2 linked regions of the Diceros bicornis minor genome follow. The protein of the gene in region 1 purifies or fractionates together with the protein of each later gene. This does not show direct contact. Links are inferred from orthologs where the notes say so. Each region holds a gene or a part of one and is shown on either strand. Other genes may lie near its edges.

The links. Proteins that work in one complex are often made in the same cells at the same time.
Region 2: the proteins of POLR3B (region 1) and POLR2K purify together in Homo sapiens (affinity purification with mass spectrometry; 3 studies listed by BioGRID and IntAct, with this or other methods). This does not show direct contact. The link is inferred for Diceros bicornis minor from reciprocal best matches to the Homo sapiens genes POLR3B and POLR2K.

What each region holds. Positions count from the first base shown.
Region 1 is NC_080764.1:17,802,305-17,806,054, forward strand, and holds the start of POLR3B (DNA-directed RNA polymerase III subunit RPC2), read right to left. Parts: upstream 2,395-3,750; 5' UTR 2,243-2,394; coding exon 2,171-2,242; intron 1-2,170. UniProt on the Homo sapiens protein: Catalytic core component of RNA polymerase III (Pol III), a DNA-dependent RNA polymerase which synthesizes small non-coding RNAs using the four ribonucleoside triphosphates as substrates.
Region 2 is NC_080760.1:18,723,461-18,727,210, forward strand, and holds POLR2K (DNA-directed RNA polymerases I, II, and III subunit RPABC4), read left to right. Parts: upstream 1-1,415; 5' UTR 1,416-1,490; intron 1,491-2,088; 5' UTR 2,089-2,097; coding exon 2,098-2,158; intron 2,159-2,489; coding exon 2,490-2,582; intron 2,583-3,233; coding exon 3,234-3,256; 3' UTR 3,257-3,444; downstream 3,445-3,750. UniProt on the Homo sapiens protein: DNA-dependent RNA polymerase catalyzes the transcription of DNA into RNA using the four ribonucleoside triphosphates as substrates.

The DNA.
Region 1 (3,750 bases):
CAGGGAGGGAGGCAGACAACCTGGAGAAAGTAAAAACATTTTTCAAGTGTAAAGTGAGGTGACGAAATATATGAGAAATCTCTGTACCTTCCTCTCAATTTTGCTGTGAACCTAAAAAGCTCTAAAAAAATTAAGGCTTTAAAAAAAAAAAGAAGATAGTCAGGCAAAACGAATCTAAGATGATAGAAATCAAAAAGTGGTGGGGATAGACTGAAAGAGGAACTTTCTGGGGTGATGGAAATGGTCTATACCTTGTATTGGTTGGTAGCTATTTGGGTATACATAGCTGTCAAAACTAATGTAACGGAACACTTAGTATTTATGCATTTTACTGTATGTAAGTCTACAAAGAGGAATGAAAGAAAGATCAGAAGGAACTATACGAGAAGAGTAGAAAGATCTTAGGGGTGGGTGGGGGATGGAAAAAGGCTGGAGAAGTAAGCAGTGGCCAGAATGAGAAAAGCCTTATTAACATGGTACAGACTTTAGATTTTGTCCTAAGAGCAACAGGCAGAGACTGAAGAATTTTAACCAAGGGAACAACATGATCATATTTGTGTGTTGTATGTTTAAAGTGATGGCTGAGAGGAGAGAACAGACTGGAGTGGGACAAGTCAGGAGCCTAGGAGGCAAGAGATGACTGTGGTTCAGACTTGCAGAATAGCAGGAATGAAGCTTCAGACTTGAGTAGATTTTGCAGGCGGGACCCTTAAGATGGGATGGTGGACTGGATGGAGAAGGCCAGGAAGAGGAACTGTTATTCCTGAATCAGAAGGCTGGAACTGTGATTTTGGTCCCTTCATAGCTGTGCAAATTCAGGCAGGAAATATAAATCCTTTAGGCTTATTCCTTCAGCTCTCTGGAGAAGGAGTCCAGTCAGCAGTTAAGGATGAAGACTCTGGAGTCAGACTACCAGAGCCCAAATTCCAGATCAGCCACTTACCAGCCTTCTGACACTGGGTTAGTTACTTAGCCTTTCTGGGCCTCAAAACCCTTCATTGGCAAAATGTGGTGAAAACAGTCCTTACTTCAGAGAATTAGATAACGAAATGCCTGTTAGGCTTAAACAGAGCCTGCCTCATAGTAAGTGCTCTTAACATTAACTCTTCAAGAGTTAAAAATCCAGTGTTGCCTCATGATGATCAGCAGTGTATTGCAAGTACTCACAGATCGAATCTGATGGACTGATTATAATGTGACTTTATTCATCTGCCAAATGATTATAAAGAGGTTCTTATAATCCAATAGACTCAGGGATCATGTCACTCTCCCGCTTAAACCCTTCAATAGCATCTCACTGTTCCTTCAGATGTCTAACAAAACCTTTCATGATCAGGACTCTTACCTACCCTTCATCTTTCATCTCTCCTTTACCCTTCTCCACTCCTACTGCATTTTAGCTCCTCAAAAACATCAGACGGTCTTGCCAACGGGGTTTCAAAGAATCCTGTTCCCTCTACCTGAAATCTCTCGCCTATCTCAAGCCTCATTTCTCCAGGTCCTCATTCCACGCCAATGAAGATTTTGAGGCCCAGAGAGATTATATGAGCCTTTCATACAACCTGTCAACAGCTGAACTTTATCAGGTAGCTCACTGTAAGGCAGTTATCCTTAATTTCTGATAATCTGGTGCAAGCTATGGGGCTGCTCCCCAGAAAACACCTAGGAAAAATTTTGAGTAGATGTTGGGGGAGTTTAAAATACTCCTGCAGCCCAAACTTGAACTCCAGGTTAAAAGGAAGGAAAACTAGTCTGCGATTCAGACGACTTGGTTTTGCCACCACAGCCAGCTGCAGGACCTCACCACAGTGGCCCAGGCTCCCTGGACCTCACTGTCCTCTCCAAGCCCGCGAAGATGCAATACGTCCCCCAAGGTGGGCGAGAGCCAGCCCTCCCCCGACACACAAGAACACTGGACAGGGTCCAACCCTAAAGGCGCCCGAGGGGCCGCTCGGCCCCCATGGCGGCTGACAGCTCGTCAACGCTGGCGCACGCGGCGGCCGGCTACGGAAAGGAGGCCCCCCCCCCCCACGTGGCGGCCTGCGCTTGCGCGGAGTACTAAGCATGCGCACAAGCCCCGGCCCGCAGCCCTCCGCGCCGAGAGCTCTCGGGGCAACGCCTCCAGGGGATCGTGCCGGCCCCTTCGGCTACCCGCGCGCCGTGCCCTCACCTCTACAGTCGGGATCGGCGCCGCCAGCTGCTCCGGGGTCAGGTTCCCAAACTCCTCCGCCAGGACGTCCATGCTGCTCACGACGAAGGAAGAAGCAAACAGAACCCCCACGCAGGCTTTCGCTGCCCCAAGCAAACTGCACCGCCCTTGGACAGCGGTGCGTCGAGGCCTAACTGCTCCCCGCCGTGCAGGTTAATTGAAGGCGCGACAGAAAGGTTCCGCCTGCCCTCTGCCCGAACCTACGGTGGAACCCGGATGTGATTGATGCGAACCTGGGAAACTGCGCCCCCTGGTGTCGCTCGGAGGTCTCGCCCGAGTAATCCTAAACCCTAGCCAATAGATTCATGGCCAGTTATCCCATCATTGAGACCAATAAAGCATATTGGTTGTAATTTTTTAAATGATTCAAAGAAAAGGGTAAACGGATAATGTGTGCGACTTGAGCCACCGAGGCAGAGAATTCATTTAATTGTCCAAAACTACACGTTGTATAGTATGGAAAAATAAGATACTTACCAAATGCCTAGTAGTAGGGGATTGGTGTAAAAAAATTATGGTGCAAGTGTGATAGAATATCATACAACCATTAAAATGACCATAAAGTGAGGAGGAATTAAATTACTAGAGAGTAGAGTATAACAGGACAGTAATTAAGACTGTTATACTCTAAAAGGACTAGAGGGAAGATCTAGGAAGAAATACCAGGAAGTGGAGAAATTTTGTATGAAAAGACATTTTAAATCAGTAGGGGAAAGATGGATTATCCAGTAAATGATGTTGGAACAGCTGATTAGCCATTTAGGAAAAAAAATACATCTAAGTAAATCCTATATGGATTAAATATTTAAATGTTAACACTTGAGAAGAAAATAAGTGAATATATTCATAACATTGAAATGGTGAAGGCCTTCAAGGATGGCAACAAAGAAATTGTAAAGGAAAATATTCATGGATTTGCTAATATAATTCTAACCATAGTTTTATGATTCCATGAAGAATTTAAAATTTTCTGAACAGATTTTTAAAAATCACGACAAATAGAGTTTTTAAAAAAAACAAGTTAGTAGAAGACAAATGGTTGGTATCCCTAATTTAAAATGAACATATACAAATCAATAGGAAAAAAAATCCCATTGGAAAAAACAAGGCAAAAGATACCAACAATTGTTTAATGGGTTTGGAGTTTCAGTCTGGGAAGATGCAAAAGTTCTAGAGATGGATGATGGTGATGGTTTCATGACAGTGTGAATGTACTTAAGGCTACTGACCTGTACACTTAAAATAGGTAAAATAGTAAATTTTATGTATGTTTTACACAATAAATTATGAAAATTTGTAAATAAAAATTTGCTGTTTTCTCATCATGAATGTAGAGCATCGTGTTAGTCTAATTCCTGAATTAGGTACTTCAAGTAAATTTCAATGCCTGTATCTTCTAAGTATTGTGCTGATGTCTGAAAGTAGGAGGAGAAAGGAAAGAAGAATTAAAAGAAGAATCAGCTCCTGCTCTTGAAGATCTTACAGTTTCCTAAAGAGACAGATACACTTTTGTGTGATCTTTGTGGATTACCAGAGAGCAA
Region 2 (3,750 bases), on another chromosome or scaffold:
GTCGGTGCGCGCCAGGGATCCAAACCAGGCTGCCAGTAGCCGAGTGTGCGCACCCAACCACTAAGCCAGGGGGCCGGCCCTGCCAGAATCATCTTGATACCCTAACTGGGAAGTCAGAATCCAGGACAGCTTCCAATGATTAAAGTTACACTTTCTGGATCACTCCATTATCTTTCTCTCATGATAACAATGGTTTTATCTAACACTGCTTGTAGGGAAGCTTATTTTGACTCTTCTATTGGATTACCTCTTTTCTTTGGTTGAGAGGAGAAGTATGTTGTGAGAGAGCTGATGGTCCAAATATTTATGCTCTATATTAGCCTGTCTGTGGAGGAAGAAGCAGGAAATTCCGGTGTGTTTCCCTGGAAATTTAAAAAATTGGCAGCTAGGAAGACTGGGAATATCAAGTTAAATCTCACAAGTTGGTCTGTGGAGGTGCAACCAGCTGGAACTCCTTCTGAAAGTGACAGGTTAAGCTCAAAGTTCTCAAGTTGCTGGATGCAAGATGGGAAAGCAGTATAGCCTGCTTAGTGAGAAAGCAAAGATGTAGTGCATGTTGGGGAGAAAGAAATCTGCTTCTCCGATTAACTATAATAGTTGTTAACGACTGGTTATTTTCTAAATTTTAATAACTTCATTTTCTTCTTCCTCCTTCTGTTGTAAGTAAAATACTACTGTGAAAGAAGCAAATGAATGTAAATGTTGTAAAACCAACTGACATTAATCTCACTGAAATTTTGATCTTTGAAAGAACCCAACCTTACATGGCAGGTTACTTTGTTGTTCTGGAGGACAATACATGTGACGGAAGGAGCGTCAGTGGATAGCCACCGCTACCAAAATCCCTCAGCTGTAGGTGGGAGTAATTGACGTAGCTGCCCTCACGCCCGCCTTTGCTTTAAAATGAGTGAAAGGAGTGGGTGAGAGGGATGACAGGAGCCTAGAACAGAAAGGGTCGAAAAGCAAAAACGAAATTATGTGAAGGATAGGAGGCGTCTGCTCCACCGCCCCAGCACAGATATCAAACCGTTCGAAAAACATAATCTGAAAAGTGTTTTTCCACGTGAAAAATCAGCAGTGAAGTCGATTCTCCCACGTTCCTCGGAATAATGGTTAGCCTAGGATTCCACGGGCACTTGTCATTTTGGTTTCTCTTCTAACCCCCCGCCCTTCTGGAAAAGTGTTACTTTCTACAGACTACATTAGTCAGGAAAACGAACTTCCTTTGACTTGAGGAACTGTTAAAATGCTTTGACGTGCTGAAAAATGAAAATAGCTGTAACGCTAACATGCACTATTGCCCGCTAAGCCTAATATGCAAAACGCCCGGCTTGACCGCCTGTATTCAATCCGGGTTCTTCGGCTACGCCCAGGGCGGAAGGGGCGGAGACTCCACTCCGCGTCATACACCAACGCCGGAAGTTGGCTGAGACGGAGCGACGAGCCGGAATCTGTGTGGAACCGTAGGGTGAGAACGTTCTCCTTGCTAGGTGGGTAGGGAATTGGCGGGTTGGGATTTTGGGCCAAAACTGGCAAGATACTCGGGTTAAACAGGTCTGGTGTGGATTTAGAGTTGGGAGAGGCTGGGGATAGAGTCAATGCTTTAGTCCTTTGCCTGGTTTCTTTCAGTTGAGCTGTTTGGCTATTGGGGGTTGTTTCATTATCCTTCCCTTATCTTCGGTTCGCTTGTTCCCCTGTTGAGGGGTATTATTTTTGTGGCCATCTCCTGCTAAAGTCGATCTGAATCTTTCTGCCTCTTAATAGCTGAATAATCCTGTGCAAATTAACTTTTCTAAGCCTCGGTTTCTTCATCTGTAAAAGGAGAGTAATACCTCCTAGGAGTGTTGTAAAGATTGTAGTGAAATGACGTATAAATGAAATAACACGTATAATGTATTTACTTTTGTGTCCAGTTTGGGGGTAATTGCGCAATATGTTGTTTTTTTGTTTCGTGCTTTACACCTCATAGGGTTTGAAAAAGTACAGATTAGGAATTGGGACGTTTTTAGCTTTCAGAGAAAAATGAGGGCTGGTTGGATTTGTGAAGAGCCCCTTTGAGATATTCAGTATTTAAGTCTGTGATTTCAGGGACTAACAATGGACACCCAGAAGGACGTTCAACCCCCAAAGCAGCAGCCAATGATATATATCTGTGGAGGTAAGAGTAGCACTTACATAAAGTAAGGGTATTTTATTTCAGTTTTTTGAAATTTCTACTTTTATCTTTGGCTTAAATGCGTCGCTCAAGTTTAAAGTTATAAAGCAGAATACTTTAGCAACCGTAAAAAAATCCTCTCATTAAGATTTCTGTCCTGAAAAAGTGCATTGCACCACATCTTTTTTTCTTTCCCCATTAATATATTGGTGATAGCAACATTCCCTTGAGATGGAGTATATTTTGGTGTTCTGGGTGAAAAATATGGTTAAGATAATTTGTTTGTCTGTAATATTTCCCTTTAGACATTGAATAAATGTGTTTTCTTTTCTAGAATGTCACACAGAAAATGAAATAAAATCCAGAGATCCAATCAGATGCAGAGAATGTGGATACAGAATAATGTATAAGAAAAGGACTAAAAGATGTATCCTTTTAACTATGCTTTCTAAATATGAGATGGGAGGAAGTGAAGAGTAATGCTTGGGTTGCGAGTCAAAGACTAATTTCTGGTAAAATGGTAATAACTTTTGGATTACTTACCAAAAAAGGCATGATTAGCATTTTCATGGACCAGTATGCCAATGTATAGGCATATACTAAATAATCTAAATACTAGTTGATTTTGGTTCTCTTAAGTCTGTTTTTCAGGGATTCTCTATTTCACAAAGTACTCATTCTTGAGCTTGAGTTTATGAACAAACTAAATTATACAAGGAGAAATCACAATATTGTGTATGTATGCTACCTGATGGAAAAAGTGAAGCTTACAAATTAGCTGAAAGAGAGTAAATTGTTATGTGGTAACTAACAATGTTTTTTAAATCAATAAGTTATCACCTTTAACATTGCTTCAGTGTTTTTTGGTGCTTTGGTCTTTTGCACTTTGGAAAGGGGACTAATAAAAATAGAAATAGTTTTTTTAGTTCATTTCCACTTGTCATAGTAAATAGTGAATTCCATTTTTTTGTGCATTTTAGATTAAATAACAAACAAGCTTATTGCAAAGAGAAAGTGACTTGGAAGTGTTAGATCAATTTTTAAATACTTTTTTTGTCCTTAACTCAGTTTAATACAGTGGTGGTTTTTGATGCTCGATGAGACATGGAATTCAGAAGAATATCTTCATTTGTATTTGGATTTGCTGTTAATGTTGTTGTATAGCTTTTGATTAGTATACTTTTCTTTATGAAGACAACTGTATACACATGATTTCATTTTAAAACCATATTGTATTTAGTATCTATTAATAGTTTATATAAATAAATTACTTCTGTTCGATTACATGATTTACAATTTAATTTTATTGTGTATGTAATCTGACGCACAATGGAGGTTAAAAGTGCTTCCCCAAATTGCACTTTCAATCAAAACTTAGAATCATCTGGGGCCCTTGTTAAAAATGAAGTTTTCTACGGCCCTCTAAAGGTGTGATTAAGTTCGTTCCTTGGAAACCACTGTTTAACATCACCAACTGTTTGTTAACCTTCTTGCATCATTTTGTTTTAGAGTGTATCAATGCACTTACTGTCAGTGTGCATACCTCATTTTGAGTTATATTTTTCATTTGTTACTTGGCATAGACCTTTCTGTAT